Linked DNA regions of Sus scrofa. The protein of the gene in region 1 purifies or fractionates together with the protein of each later gene. This does not show direct contact. Links are inferred from orthologs where the notes say so. Each region holds a gene or a part of one and is shown on either strand. Other genes may lie near its edges.

Region 1 (7,269 bases):
CCTTCAGGTAGCCGGTTGCCCTTCATGGCCTTGAGATTGAAGTTCTTGAGTACTTGTTGGGTTATTGGTGTGGAGAAGAGTAGGTTTCTTTGATTTGGTTTTTGGTTTTCCACTCAGAATACACTAAATCTGTGATCGATCTTCGCCCAGAAGATGTGGGGCATGAAAGTGGCTCCTTAGGAGACAGAAGCAAATCTGTCCCAGGCCTCAGTGTGGATATGGTAAGTACCCTGGTATTTCATTTGCTTGCTATATGAAATTTTATATACCAGAGTTCCTGTCCTGGCTCAGTGGAAACAAATCTGACTAGTAACTATGAGGTTGCAGGTTTGATCCTGGCCTTGCTCAGTGGGCTAAGGATCCAGCGTTGCCATGAGCTATGATGTAGGCCTCAGCTGCAGCTTGGATCCTGCATTGCTGTGGCTGTGGCACAAGCCAGCAACTGCAGCTCCAATTCGACCCCCTAGCCTGGGAACCTCCATATGTCGTGGGTACAGCCCTAGAAAGCAAAGAAAAAAAAAAAAGAAAGAAATTTTATATACCTAAAGTTGACTTTCCTACCTGATGCTCTAAATTCATGTGTTTAATTCTTTAGGAAAAGGTAACATGAATCTTGATTTCCCGAAATTTCTAAAGTAAATCTGGTTGTTGAATTACTTAAAGAAACAGACTGTCTCTTTCATTTTCTACACATTGCTTGATATACAATTAGGGGCTCAAATAAATACTTATTTTTAATAAAATGTAGAGATGGTTGGGTTGGGGAAGCCTCATGAGAAAGATATTATTTTGAAATTTGAGAAGGATGGTTGGAATATAGTTTAGAAGCATGAAATGGGGAAACATAAGAATAAGTATGTATATGGGCACATGACACCTTAGGGCTTAGCAGCAATTAAGGCCCCTACTCAAGGAAGGAGATTAGTCTTTGAACTTTTTCTTTTTCTTTTTTTGTCTTTTTAGGGCCACACCTGCAGCATATGGAGGTTCCCAGGCTAGGGTTCGAATCGGAGCTATAGCCGCTGGCCTACGCCACCACCAGAGCCACAGCAATGCGGGATTCCAGCCGCATCTGTGATCTACACCATAGCTCATGGCAATGCCAGGTCCTTGACCCACTAAGTGAGGCCAGGGATCAAATCTGCATCCTCCTGGATACTCATCAGATTCATTTCCACTGAATCACAATGGGAATTCCTGAACTTTTTCTTATTTTTATTAACTCTGAATCTATATTCATTGTTTCAGGAAGAGGAAGAGGAAGAAGAAGACATTGACCACCTGGTAAAGTTGCATCGTCAGAAGCTAGCCAGAAGCAGCATGCGAAGTGGCTCCTCCATGGTAAGTTGTAGTAGTTCTGTGGCTATAGACATGTTGGGGTACTGGGAAGGAAGGAAGGACCTCCCTAGTGCAGAGTCAGGATCTGGGGAAATTCTAGTCACTCTTTCCAAGTAAATACAATGCATTTGTTTGTTCTTTTCCTCAATTTGGACAGTAGTTGCTTAGTATGCAGTGAGGTGACTTTCTCAGATTCTGCCCTGGAGATTCTTATATCAGGTAGTTAGGGCTAGGGAGGTTCATCATAGCTTTGTCAACAGTAACCCATAACTTCTCCCCTAAAAAGGTCCCAGGCCAGGAAGTGAGCAAGTTCATATTTCTTCATCAGGGCATGCTCCAAATATTGTATTTAAGGGCAGTAACTGCCATGAGAAGGGCCTTGGCAAGGGTTAATTGGCATAAGGATATGATTAAGAAATAGCAGTACCAATCAGAATCATGAAGTTAAAGGCACATTTTAAGAATCAGAGCCTAGGAGGAGTTCCCATTGTGGCTCAGCAGGTTAAGGACCTGATGTTATCTCTGTGAGGATGTGGGTTTGATCCCTGGCCTCACTCTGTGGGTTAAGGATCCGGAGTTGCAGAGGTGGCTAGGATCCAGTGTTGCTATGGCTATGGCGTAGATCTCAGCTACAGTTCTATTTTTATTTTATTTTATTTTTTTTTGTCTTTTTGCTATTTCTTTGGGCCGCTCCCACGGCATATGGAGGTTCCCAGGCTAGGGGTCGAATTGGAGCTGTAGCCACTGGCCTACGCCAGAGCCACAGCAACGTGGGATCTGAGCCGTGTCTGCAACCTACACCACAGGTCATGGGAACGCCGGATCCTTAACCCACTGAGCAAGGGCAGGGACCGAACCTGCAACCTCATGGTTCCTAGTTGGATTCATTAACCACTGCGCCACGACGGGAACTCCTCAGCTACAGTTCTGATTTGACCCCTGGCCCAGGAACTGCCATAGGCTGCAGGTGTGGCCATAATAAGAAAACAATTTTTTAAAAAATAATCAGGGACTAGTTTCTGTCTAAAGTATGAAGATTAATGTTTAGGGGAAACAGGATGTTCCTGGAAGAGAATGGTGGGCTTGCAGAGTGGATTATTACTGAGATCCCCCCGCCAGTTCTGATACAGGCACTTTCCTTTATACGTCTTGAGAGGAATAAGGTGGATAAAAGAAACCCACAGATAATGAAGTCCCCTTGTTTTAATTAGTAACTGACTCCTTCTAGCTAACATTGTAGCATATATAACATATACCAAAATTGGACTCAGCTGCACCTTACCTTTCTTCCTTGCACACCTTCTGGGGCAGTTGAAAATTAACAATAAAATGTGTAGGAAGAGGGCAAGAAGAGCAGCTTGGAGTCTAGGGGAGCCGTGAGCTGATAGATGACCCTAAGCAGTTGGGAGTGTGCACTGTCTTTTATATTCTGGGTACGAGATGGTTGGTGGTACTGGCTTATTTATTGAAGGGGCTTTTGTTTTGTTCTGTGACTGGGGGCTTTTTCCTGAGAGAAAATATGAGCAGTGTGGCGGGGGAGCATACCTTCGCCAGATGTTTGTGGGTGCTTTCTCCTCAGAGTACCATTGGCAGCATGATGAGCATCTACAGCGAAGCTGGTGATTTCGGGAACATCTTTGTGACGGGCAAGGTTACCTTTTCACTGAAGTATGAGCAGCAAACACAGACTCTGGTTATTCATGTGAAAGAGTGCCAGCAGCTGGCCTATGCCGACGAAGCCAAGAAGCATTCGAACCCGTGAGTGCTTCTGGACCCGATGTGGTGCTCGGAGATGATGGCTCAGACCCCGGCATCTCTCTGGGCACCCTGGAACCGAGGCCGTCACTTCCTGGGAGGACAGGGAGGTGGGATTGAGGATGGTTAAAGGAGATGTGGGAAGGGGACCAGAATTGTGAAGATGCAATAATGACATGTCTGAGAGGGCCTGATGTGACATTTTCATTTTGTCATGGTGTATGTATATGGAGAGCAGGGAAGTGAAGAGTGAGCTTCTGAAAAGACAGGAAATTACTTGATGTTTTCCTTGGTTTTTAGCTATGTGAAGACTTACCTTCTGCCTGACAAATCCCGCCAAGGCAAAAGAAAAACCAGCATCAAGCGGGACACCGTTAACCCGCTCTATGATGAGATCCTCACAGTAAGTATCTAGAGCCCAAGAGTAGAACTTGTTCTGTCTTGTGTGCTGAGCTGTAGCTATGTCTCTGTTACCTAGCTGGTCCACGTAGTTTTCCATGGCTGTGTCTGTGTATGAGGATATCCTATAGGCATCTCTTCATGTTCCAGCCTCCTAGAGAAGAGACAAAAGTGGACCTAGCTTTCTTGGATTGCTGTGCTGTTGAGCTCCACGTGGCCACAAATTCATTCTGAAAACCTGAAAAGCCAGTTGGGGTCAGGAGTCTCCCAGGCAGTTCTTTTTGAATATTCTGGTGTTCTCTTGCCCACTCAAGGAAAAAATGAATATTCTAGACCCTTCCACAGAATGTGGTAGGTTTTTTGTGAAATAGGGTAAGTGGAAGCTCTGAGTGAGGAACCTCAAAGTGCTTAAGGACTAAAGTAATTTGATATTCACTTTGGGTCTGGTTGCTCAGATTTTGGAGTAGTCTTTTCATGAGGAATTACCATGAACTAATCATGTTGGGCTTCTTTCCTTTCACAGTATGAGATCCCAGAATCTGTCCTGTCCCAAAGGACTTTGAAGTTCTCGGTTTGGCATCATGGTCGTTTTGGCAGAAACACTTTCCTTGGAGAGGCAGAGGTCCAGATGGATTCCTGGATGCTTGATAAGAAACTGGATCATTGCCTCCCTTTACATGGCAAGGTAGTCTACTTTAACAACTCCTTGCAGAGTTTGAATCTGAGGTAGAATTGTCTGCACTGATTTCTACTGGGACATGTTGGTAGTCTTGAAATGTAGCCTTGTGTGGAGTTCTAGCACACTCTGCTGGGGGTTCTGAGTTTAACAGTCATTTCAGATGCACTGGAATGGCAAGTGTGAGTAATCTCCGCGTAGGCCAGGCAAAGGACAAAGTCATGGTTTTCCTTTGAAGTCTTTCATATGCATGCCAGGCTTTGCCTCCTAATCTTCCAGAGTTTGAGCATGCCATAACATCCTAACTTATGCCTCTTCTGCAAGCTAACCTTTTGGTTATCCTAATCTGCACTCCTTTTCCAAGCTATCCTTTTCACTAAAGAGGTGGGAAGTAAAGCAATTCATGGAATTCCAATGGCCATAATCTTGGTCACATAAGCCAGGAACAATTTTACTTTGGAATTGGCATCTCAGGTGAGAGTGTAGCAATGTGCATAATAGTGCCTGGGAACTGAGTGCAGACCTGGATTTGAATCCTGATTCTGGGATTTGCCAGCTAGGTAAGTCACCTAACTTTTGGGAACCTTATTTCTTCATCTGTAAAATAATAGATGAAGAATAGAGATAATAATATTCCTCTTCCGCAGGATCATATACAAAGTACTAATCAGTGCCTGGCACATAAAGGACATTTAGTAGGTTACTGTCATTCTGGTTAAGATGAAATTGCTAAAACAGAGTTTGGAGTTTCTGTTGTGGCTCAGTGGGTTCAGAGCCCGACTAGTATCCATGAGGATGCAGGTTCAATCACCTGGCCTCTCTCAGTGGGTTAAGGACCCAGCATTGCCACAAGCTGTTGTGTACATCACAGACACCCTTGGATCCTGCGTTGCTGTGGCTGTGGCATAGGCTGGCAGCTGCAGCTCTGATTGGATCCCTAGCCCAGGAACTTCCATATGCCATGGGTACAGCCCTAAAAGGACAAAAAGTAAAAAAATAAGGCAGAGTTTTGACACCTTAATTATCAAAACTGTTCCCTGGCAGGGTTTTTCTATAAAACTTTTTTACACTAGCATTTTCAATACTAAAAACAATACATGGTCATAGAATACCTTTGGAAAATAGACAAGGAACTAGGAGTAGTGGCTGCCTCTAGAAAGAGAAACTGAGGTGGGAGGGTCATTTAGTTATGTGTATGCCCTTTTATAACATTTTATAATGTTTGAACTTTTTACCATGTCTACATATATTGCTTATTAAGAACATTAAGAAGACACACATGGCTCAAAATTAAAATAACAGGAGTTCTCTGGTGGCTCAGTGGGTTAAGGACCAGCATTGTTACTGCATGGCTCAAGTTGCTGTGGCCAGGTTTGATCCCTGGCCCAAAAACTTCCACATGTTGCAGGCATGGCCAAAAAAAATTTTTTTTTGAAATAATGTAGAAGTATATAAAAAGAAAAGCAGATTCAATTCCCTAGAAATAACCATGACTTGGATATCTTCATAGAAGTTTTGTATTAAACAGCACAGATAGACCCACATGAATTTATATTTTTTCTTTTTTACACAAATGGACTCATGTAAACCTCATTGTGTATATAGATCTTGATTTTTTTTCTGTCTTCTTTAGGGCCTCACCTGTGGCATATGGAGGTTCCCAGGCTAGGGGTCGAAAAGGAGCTGTAGCCACTGGCCTATGCCACAGCCACAGCAGTGCCAGATTGGAGCTGCGTCTGCAACCTACACCACAGCTCACAGCAATGTCAGATCCTTAACCCACTGAGCGAGGCCAGGGACCGAACCTGCAACCTCATGGTTCCTAGTTGGATTCATTAACCACTGAGCCACTATAGGAACTCCTTGATTTTTTTATTTAACAATTTGTTATTTACCATGGACATTTTTTCTAGGCCATCATTTAATAGATTTATCTCATTTTAATTGCTGGAGAGTATTCTTCATGTGCCTGTATTAGAATTGATTTACAGTCCCCCCACGGATGGCATGAAAATTGTTTACCTCTTTTTTTTTTCTTTCTGCTATCAAAGCTCTGCGGTAATAATATATCTTGGCTTTCATTTGTGAATGTAACTGTAGGAGAAATTTTTGGTGGTGAAATTGCTGAGTCAAAGGACATGTACATCTAGTGTTTTGATAGCTACTGCCCTCCAAAAATACTGACATTAAAGATGTCCCTTTAAGTACTAATAAAAACGGGAAAGCAGTTATTACCAAACTATAGTACATTATTGGAAATTTAGAGTTTCTTAAGCATTTGGCATGTAAGTTATTCTCTCAGGGGCCTATAGTTGATAAAATTGTATTGAAAATATCACTGTAAAACATCATGTAAACTGCCAGTAAAAAATGCCTTACATCACAAGAAAAAGATGCACTAGAATGGAGCTGTGTGTTCATTGCAATTATTTTGAGCCAGGATGAAAATCTGCTACTGAAACAAATACTCCAATTTCCAGCTAAGGCTAAACTCCAACAATTTTTAAGAGTCCACTGAAGTTCACATCTGGAGCCTAATAAATTGTGTAGACATTTTATAAACAACAAAAAGACCACTCCAGTATTACATGTCTACTTTAACTAAAAGCATTCTACATTTGTTGACTCAGAGTTTTCTTTTTTTTCTGCCATAGTGATCTGTTTGCTCCCATTCAGTTTTCTTTTCTTGGCCTCCATCTCCACAATTTTTTCATATCTCTCCCATATACTACACTTCTATGTATTCTGGGTATGTGGTGCCTTTTTCCAAACCAGTGGGGATTATGTCTTCCTGACATACTATGTTCAGAACTGAGGCCCTAGGTTAGAGGAGCCCCAGTGAACACAGGCCAGTGAAAGAGTACCTGTGATCAGCAAGAGCACCAACTTATGCTCTGGGTACCAAAGCATAAGGAGCAAGTCACACAGGGCCGATACAGTGAAGAGTGCTGCTGCCCAAGGCCACTTGCTACTCATCCCAGACACCCACTCATTCATGCTTGTAGTCACTCAGGAAGTATTTGTGAAGCACCTACTATGTGCCAGGTACTTTGCTAAGTGTCAGGCATATTAGGATGAACAACAACAACAAAAAGGCTTGA
Region 2 (7,774 bases), on another chromosome or scaffold:
GACGTTAATGTTGTCCTTGGCGCTTGCCTCAAAGAACTCGAACCCTGTGGTCGGAGAAGGGAGGGGTGAGGACCCTGATTCCCCCACCCCCGCAATCCTAGAGACACTCCTCCGAGAGCAGGTAACACTGGGAGATTCCTAGTGCCAACCGCACGTTAAAGGCTCTGACAGGAAGGACGCTGGACTAAGTCAGCCTTTATTTCCCGCATCTCTTCACGCTCAAACTGCCCTGGTAAGACCCACTTCCCTGCTCCTACTATCCAGCTCAACCCTGGCCCTAGTGGCTTTTGACATTCAGATCAAGGCCTTTCCATGCTCCCGCACCCACCATGGCTCCCTATTGTCCTCTGAAGAGTCTGGCTCCTCAACTCATGGTTCAGGTCCTGCATGATCAGCCATATTTCCTCCAAGTGACCCTCGTGTTCCAGTCACATAAAACTATTCTCCAAAAGGGTAGTTCCCACATCTGCCTTTGCCCACACTGTTTCTTCTGTCTGAAAGCCCACCCTTTGTCTTCAAGTACCAGCTCCAATGGCCCCACTTCCAGGAAGCCTTACCTATGCCAGTGTGAGCCTGGCTTCCCCCATGGTCTTGCCCAGCCCAGGTCCCTCCCTCAGTCTCACAAAGCTGGAGACTTCTCAAGGGCTCAGGAGCACCCAGTACAAGGCTGGGCAGTGAGGGTATCAGTAACTTCCTGCAGAGTAGACTCCTAAGCAGCCATCAAGATCCACCTCACATGGCCCCTAGAATCAAGGTCGGTTTGCAAAAAGTACGAAAAACTCAGATTTGAATACAGGCCCCATCCTGGTTTTGCTGTGAGACCTTGGGTGTGTCTCCTCCCCTTTCCAGGCCCTCAGTGTCCCTTTCCTGGCCTGTAGGTGTCCAGCCCCTCTAGGCACTCACCCAGGTGGTCAGCCAGCTGCCGGCCACGTTCTGATGACACCACCCGCTCATCCTCCATGTCACACTTGTTCCCCACCAGCAGCACCTGGGCATTGTCCCATGAGTATGTCTTGATCTGGGTTGACCTGGAGGAGGTGGTGACAGGCAGGTTAGGACTTGGAGAATCTAAGCTCTACCCGTCTCCATCTTCCCCTGCCTTATTCACCCAACTCCAGAGCCCCACAACTCATTTATTCCTTGAGAGAAGCAGGCTTGGTCCCTCTGTCCTGCCATGTATCTGCTCCTGCTCCTGCAGTTCAATGATCTTGGGAGTCCCTCTTTCTTTCTTTCTTTTTTTTTTTTTTTTTTTTTTTTTGTCTTTTTTAGGGCTGCACCATGGCACATGGCAGTTCCCAGGCTAGGGGTCAAATTGGAGCTGTAGCTGCTAGCCTACACCACAGCCACAGCAATGAGGGGTCCGAGCCAAATCTGCAACCTACACCACAGCTCACAGCATTGCCAGATCTTTAACCCACTGAGTGAGGCCAGGAATCAAACCTGTGACCTCAGGGATACTAGTCGAGTCTGTTAATGCTGAGCCACAACGGGAACTCTGGGAGATCCCTCTTTTTCAAGCAGCTTACCCTTCCCAGATCACCCCATATCAGCCCCAGAAGAATTTCTCCCTCTTGAGCAAATTCAAACATTACATTTTAAACGTTATCCTTACTCTGGGCAAAAATTTTAAATGTTTATATCCTCTAATCTATACAAACTGCCTTTATGTTTTCTGTCCCTCTCAGGCTTTTTTTTTCCTTGATGTTCACTATTTCATTTTTCCATCTGAAATCTTTTTTTTTTTATGGGCCACACTTGCAGCATATGGAGGTTCCCAGGCGAGGGGTCTAATCGGAGCTACAGCTACTGGCCTATGCCACAGTCACAGAGCAATGTGAGATCCAAGTCAAGTCTGTGACCTACACCACAGTTCAGGGCAACGCTAGATCCTTAACCCACTGAGCGAGGCCAGAGATCGAACCTCATGGTTCCTAGTCGGATTCGTTTCTGCTGTGCCACAACAGGAACTCCTGAAAACTTTTTTTTTTTGGCTATGCCCACAGCATATGTAAGTTTCCAAACCAGGGATCTAACCTGAGCCATTGGGGTGACAACACTAGATCCTTCAATAGCTAGGCCACCAGGGAACTCCTGAAATCTTCTTTTCCCATTATTTCAAGCTGGTGTCATATGGTTTTAATGATTATAGATTGATAGCAGGGCTGGGACCCCCAATATTGTTATTTATATTTCTGATAGGGGGCTGGGGCTCCCTAGTCTCAGGCTGCACCCCAGGCTTTGCATCAAGCCTGGCTTGAAAACCACCTGAGAGTGGGTGGGGCATGCTCACCAGTCCTGCACTGCATTGAAGGACTCTTCATTGGTGATGTCATACATGAGGATGAAGCCCATGGCGCCCCGGTAATAGGCTGTCGTGATGGTCCGGTACCGCTCTTGCCCCGCTGTGTCCTGGGGAAGAAGAGATGAGTGGCAGAGAGGACACACACAGAAGCTCCTAAGAGTGGAAATGAACTCTGAAATCATCCACCCCCTTGAGGCCCAGAGGAGTAGGGGCTTGCCTAGGAGCACAGTGGGTCAGGGAGAGTGAGTAGGCTGCCTGCACCGGGAATGTGGTACCCAGTCATCCCAAGGTAGCTACAGAATCGTTCCTTCATTCATTCAGCACATATGTGCTGGGCACTGACCTGTGCCAGGCACTAGGGACCTAGGTGTTAACAAAATGGACCAGGGAGTAGAGTTCCTGTCGTGGCTCAGTGGTTAACGAATCCAACTAGGAACCATGAGGTTGCAGGTTCGATCCCTGGCCTTGCTTAGTGGGTTAAGGATCTGGCATTGCCGTGAGCTGTGGTGTAGGTTGCAGACGCGGCTCGGATCCCGCGTTGCTGTGGCTCTGGTGTAGGCCGGCAGCTACAGCTCCGATTGGACCCCTAGCCTGGGAACCTCCATATGCCGCAGGAGCGGCCCTAGAAATGGCAAAAAGACAAAAAGACCAAAAAAAAAAGCACCAGAGAGTTCTCTTGTGGCACAAATGGTTAAGGATCTAGCGTTGTCACTGCAGTGGTTTGGGCTGCCACTGTGGCATGGGTTCAACCCCTGGCCTGGGAACTTCCACATGCCCCTGGGTGTGGGCAAAAAACAAAAACCAATAGCATCGGGATTGAGATGGCAGAGGAGTAAGACAAGGTACTCATCTTCTCCAATGAACACATCAAAAAAAACAAAACAAAAACAAAAACCCATCTACATGTAGAAAGATTCGTACAAGACATCTACTGAATGCTGACAGAAGATCTTAAACCTCCAAAAAGGGCAAGAAACCCACCACATAACTGGGTAGAACAAAAGAGGAAAAAGAGAGAGAGAGACAAAAACAAAACAAAAAACCAAAATAGACCAAAATCAGGAGTTCCTGTCATGGTGCAGCGAAAACAAATCCACCTAGTATCCAAGAGGATGTGGGTTTGATCCCTGGCCAAGCTCAGTGAGTTGGGGATGTGTTGCCATGAGCTGTGGTGTAGGTTGCAGATATGGCTTGGATCTGGCATTGCTGTGGCTGTGGTGTAGGCAGGCAGCTGCAGCTCTGATTAGACCCCTAGCCTGGGACCCTCCATATGCTGAGGGTGTGGCCCTAAAAAGACAAAAAAAAAAAAACAAAAAACAAAAAACTTGAAGGATGAGGGAGGGAGCCCTGCAGAGATAAGAAGAAAGGTAATCCAGGCAGAAGGCACAGCCCAGGGAAAGGCCCAGATGTGGACTATGTCTGGTATATTTGAGGAACAGTGAGACAGTGAAGAGGCTGAGGTAGAGATGGAGGGATACAAATGAGATTGGGTATCAACAAGGATAGACCACACAGGATCTTAGCCAGGGGGAGAAGGCACAGGTTTAACCCAGATGAGGTGGGAGCCTTGGCAGAACTGTGAACAGAGAAGGGATGGTTCTGACTTTGGATTTAGCAGGCTCCCTCATGTCTCAGAGGCACTGAGGGAGGTGGCTAGAGGAGCCTGTTCCTGTCTCGGAGAATGAGGTGGGGGGGGGGGTCAAGATTTCTCTGAAACCTCATACAGAGCCACATGGAGGAAGCTGAAGATGGGGAGAGAAGCTGAGGCACCAAGCAAATGATGTGTCCAATGATGTCAGAGGTAGGAGAGGACCTACCTGGCATTTGCTACTTCCCCACCCTTGGAGAGCACCGATGACACACTGAAAGAACCGAGATACCCTCTTCTGTGCCTCTATCCTGTGGTACACAGTAAGGGCCTGAAAAAATGCTCAGTGTGTAATGAATGAATCTAGACAGGAAAGCAATAGGGAAAGCTGGGCTGCTCTTTGGGACAGAGAGGGAGTGATGGAGACAGAATTCCCCCAGCTGGACCCACCCAGATCTGCAGCTTGATCCTCTTATCATTCCGGTAGATGGTCTTGACCTTGAAGTCGATTCCTACAGTGCTGACAAAGGCAGGCGTGAAGGAGTCGTCTGCATAGCGGAAGAGGAAGGATGTCTTGCCCACACTGCTGTTTCCAATGATGAGGATCTTAAACATGTAGTCAAAGTTCTGGTCCGAGGACTCCTTCTGCCCATAGCGCGAGTCTGTGGCAGATGCCATCTGGGGGTACGGGGCATAGGCGAGCGTGAGAGGGTCGCCCTCCAACTCCAAACGCCCAAGCCCAGACTCAGGATGGAAGAACTCCAGAGCTCCCAGAGTGAGACAGAGATTACCTTTATCCCGTCAGGAGCCCCAGTACTAATGGTGGGGCCCACAGCAGAGGGCGGGCCTTGACCTTGAAAGGCCCAAGGTTTCAGGGGAGGACTTTCAGACCGAAAGGGATGGAGACATCGCTGCAGGCCGGAGCCCCTGGTCCGACAGCAACCTAAGCCCTACAGCTGTGCCTAGGGGAGTGACTGCGGCCGGCCCCGCCCCCTATCAATCATTCACGTTCCTCAGAACTGAGCGGCGCTAGCGCACGTGCACACGCGTGTACGGTACCCGCGGGGACGCGTATCTGCAGTCCTCCCAGATTCCCAGGCTGGGAGAGCTCGGGCTGAAGCAGCTACCCCACGTGATAGGAGCAGGGCGTGCTCACGCTCACGTGCACACAGCAGGGCACACACCAGGGCACATTCGTGCATATCTGAGCATCGAACACACTCGGCGCACAGGACAGAGGCAGACACCTGTCTGCACACCGACATGCATATACCAATGAGCAAATCCACCCGTGCGCACTGTGTCCTCCACCTATGCAGCCGAGTACACGTCACCCACATGGGCACGCATCTCTGTACATGTATGCACTTTGCTGTGCACGCACACGCATAGTCCACGCGTCCCCCTCCACACGCGTGCAACATGCACAAACTTGAGTAGGGAAACCCGGGGGGGTCACAAGAGCATACCCTGGGACCCAAGCAAGGGTACACACAAATCGGCCGGTACAGGCGGGCGCGCACACGCGTGTGCACACCACGCGCACGCGCACGCATGGAGCCTCCCGCGCGCACAGCTTCCCGCAAGGCACCCGTCTCGTCTCCCCTCCCCCTCCGCCGCAGAACCGGGGTGGAGAGGTGGGGGTGGGGAGGAGGATCCAGCAGGTAAGGGGAACCTACCCCTCCCCAGGCTCGCGACCGCCGCATCCTTCCCCTCATTTAACACCTGCCAACCTCGTCTCTCACCCCAGCCAGCCCATCAGTCAAATGAAGGTTATGTAGGTACTCCGAGCGGGAGTGCACAGGGACACTCGGGAGCTCACCTTGCCCTGCAGTGATGTGGTGGTGACCCTAGCGGTGGCGACGGGGCCCCCAGTGCGTTGATGTGGGGCTGCGCGGCAGCGGAGGCGGCGGCAGCGGCTCAGGCCCCTGCAGTCCTTGGTGACGTCCTGCAAAGAGCAGGGCGGGGCCTCACATGCAGATACGGCCGTGACGCCATCCTGGGGCGGAGCCACGCATTGAGATAGGGTCCACTGTCACACGCAGAGCGGGGAGGGGCGAGGCTCCCCACGCAGATTGACGCGAGAATGGGGCGGGGCCCAGCGAGCGCATCCAGTAGCTAGCGAAAGCAGTGCCGGAGGGGAGGAATCGCCTGCTGGGGCCACCTCTCTCCAGTGTTAGGGAGGCGGGGTTTCACGGCGCCTTATGATTGGCTTAAGTGTTCAAGCGATTTGCTAAATAGCCAATAAAAGATTGTCACGGCCCTCCTCTCGTCCAGCGTTGGTTCCCGAGTGGTTGAAGGGCGGAGAGGTTGAGGCTTTGGCGGAGCCTTGGTCTTCTGGGGGCGTTCCCCTTCCCCACCCCCGCGCACCCCAGGTCCGGGATCAGGGGGTCCCCGCCCAGTCCTGAGTGCCGTGACCTCTCGTTAAACACCCCAGTTTCAGAAAAAAGGAACCGAGAAGATGCTCCATGTCTCCTATTTCAAAATAAGTGCAAAAGAAGAAAAAACAGAAATAGGGGTAAAGATAGACCCTGTCTAATTTCTGAGATGTTAGATCCCCAAAGGGAGCCGGGCTGGTGGATGCTCCACCCTGTTAATGAGATGGAGAAAGAAGCAATTGGGACCAAGAGAGCCACCCTTCCCCAATTCCCAGAAGGAAGGAAAGAGCTGATGGACGCTCCGGGAACCCCTCTCGTTCCTGTGCCCCATTTTCCAGAGAAAAATTCGAAGAAATGGCGGAAGCAGGGCGGAGAGACGGCCTGTCCCCCAAACTCGCAAAGCCTGCAGTAAAAGGCATGGGAAACAGGGAGGATACGAACAAGGTTTAAAAACCAACAATAACGATGCAGGGTCGGAGATGCTTTACCCCTCCCTGGTTCCTGAGTTAAGAGACGGAGACTCAAGAATCCTCCCTCCTCCTTCCTGGCAAAAGGAGACTCAGAGATGGAGTTTGGGGTCAAAGATGTTCCACCGTTTTTCCGCCAAATCTTGTGAAAAAGTCAGAATGAGGAGGGGGGCGGTGGAAGAAGGAGACCTTGGCCCCCACTGCCGATCGCTGCCTCGCCAACTCCGGTCCCCACACCCGGCAGGGAGCGCGTGGCCCCAGGAAAATTCTGATCTCCCTGATTCCTCCTCAGGAGACGAGGGGCGGGGCCTGCTCTGTTTATAAAAAGCTCTCCAGCTGCAGAGGCTCCTAGATACCAGAATAACCTCGCGCCTAGAAGCCGCCCCCAGCCCCCTGGAAGTGCTCCCTCCCGCCCTCCTTGTAATTGGGAAATCTGTTGGGGTTTCTTTTCCCTAAAAGTAGCATTTGTGTCCCTCTCCCTCACTCTGACCATGAAAGTATCACAAACCTACTACGGAGAATTAGGAAATTTCAAAAAACATCGTAAATAAATATAAAATCCACCTGCAATATCCGCCTCCCAGAGGACAGCAGTAGAGTTCCCACTTTGGGCTAGGAGAGGTGGGGGCCGGGGGGGAGGGGCGCCTCTGGGCGCGGCCGCGGTGGAGATGAGGGCGCACGTGGCCGCTAGGCTCCCTAATTTCCCAAGTGCATATTTTGGGCTTTGTACATGGAGAGAACAAGGAAATACCTACTTATCCCCCGCCCCAAGGGTAAACACTCACAGCAATATGTACCACCTTCTGCACAAAGGAATTTGTATTTTAAAATAAAAATAAAATAAAAATAGTGGAAGGCCTCCATTGTTAAGAATGAAGCTCTGGAGTTTCCTTCGTGGCTCAGCGGTTAAGGAACCCGACTAGCATCCGTAAGGACTCCGGTTCGATCACTGGCCTCACTCAGTGAGTTAAGGATCTCGCGTTGCCATGAGCTGTGGTGTAGGTGGCAGACATGGCTCTGATCCCGAGTTGCTGTGGCT

The links. Proteins that work in one complex are often made in the same cells at the same time.
Region 2: the proteins of SYTL4 (region 1) and RAB3A purify together in Homo sapiens (affinity purification with mass spectrometry; 3 studies listed by BioGRID and IntAct, counting the BioPlex papers as one, with this or other methods). This does not show direct contact. The link is inferred for Sus scrofa from reciprocal best matches to the Homo sapiens genes SYTL4 and RAB3A.

Annotation. Positions count from the first base shown.
Region 1 is NC_010461.5:82,376,334-82,383,602, reverse strand, and holds part of SYTL4 (synaptotagmin-like protein 4), read left to right. Parts: coding exon 1-7; intron 8-117; coding exon 118-221; intron 222-1,248; coding exon 1,249-1,341; intron 1,342-2,917; coding exon 2,918-3,096; intron 3,097-3,393; coding exon 3,394-3,496; intron 3,497-4,015; coding exon 4,016-4,177; intron 4,178-7,269. UniProt on the Homo sapiens protein: Modulates exocytosis of dense-core granules and secretion of hormones in the pancreas and the pituitary. Interacts with vesicles containing negatively charged phospholipids in a Ca(2+)-independent manner.
Region 2 is NC_010444.4:59,601,183-59,608,956, reverse strand, and holds the start of RAB3A (ras-related protein Rab-3A), read right to left. Parts: upstream 4,569-7,774; coding exon 4,341-4,568; intron 2,410-4,340; coding exon 2,291-2,409; intron 1,029-2,290; coding exon 904-1,028; intron 45-903; coding exon 1-44. UniProt on the Homo sapiens protein: The small GTPases Rab are key regulators of intracellular membrane trafficking, from the formation of transport vesicles to their fusion with membranes.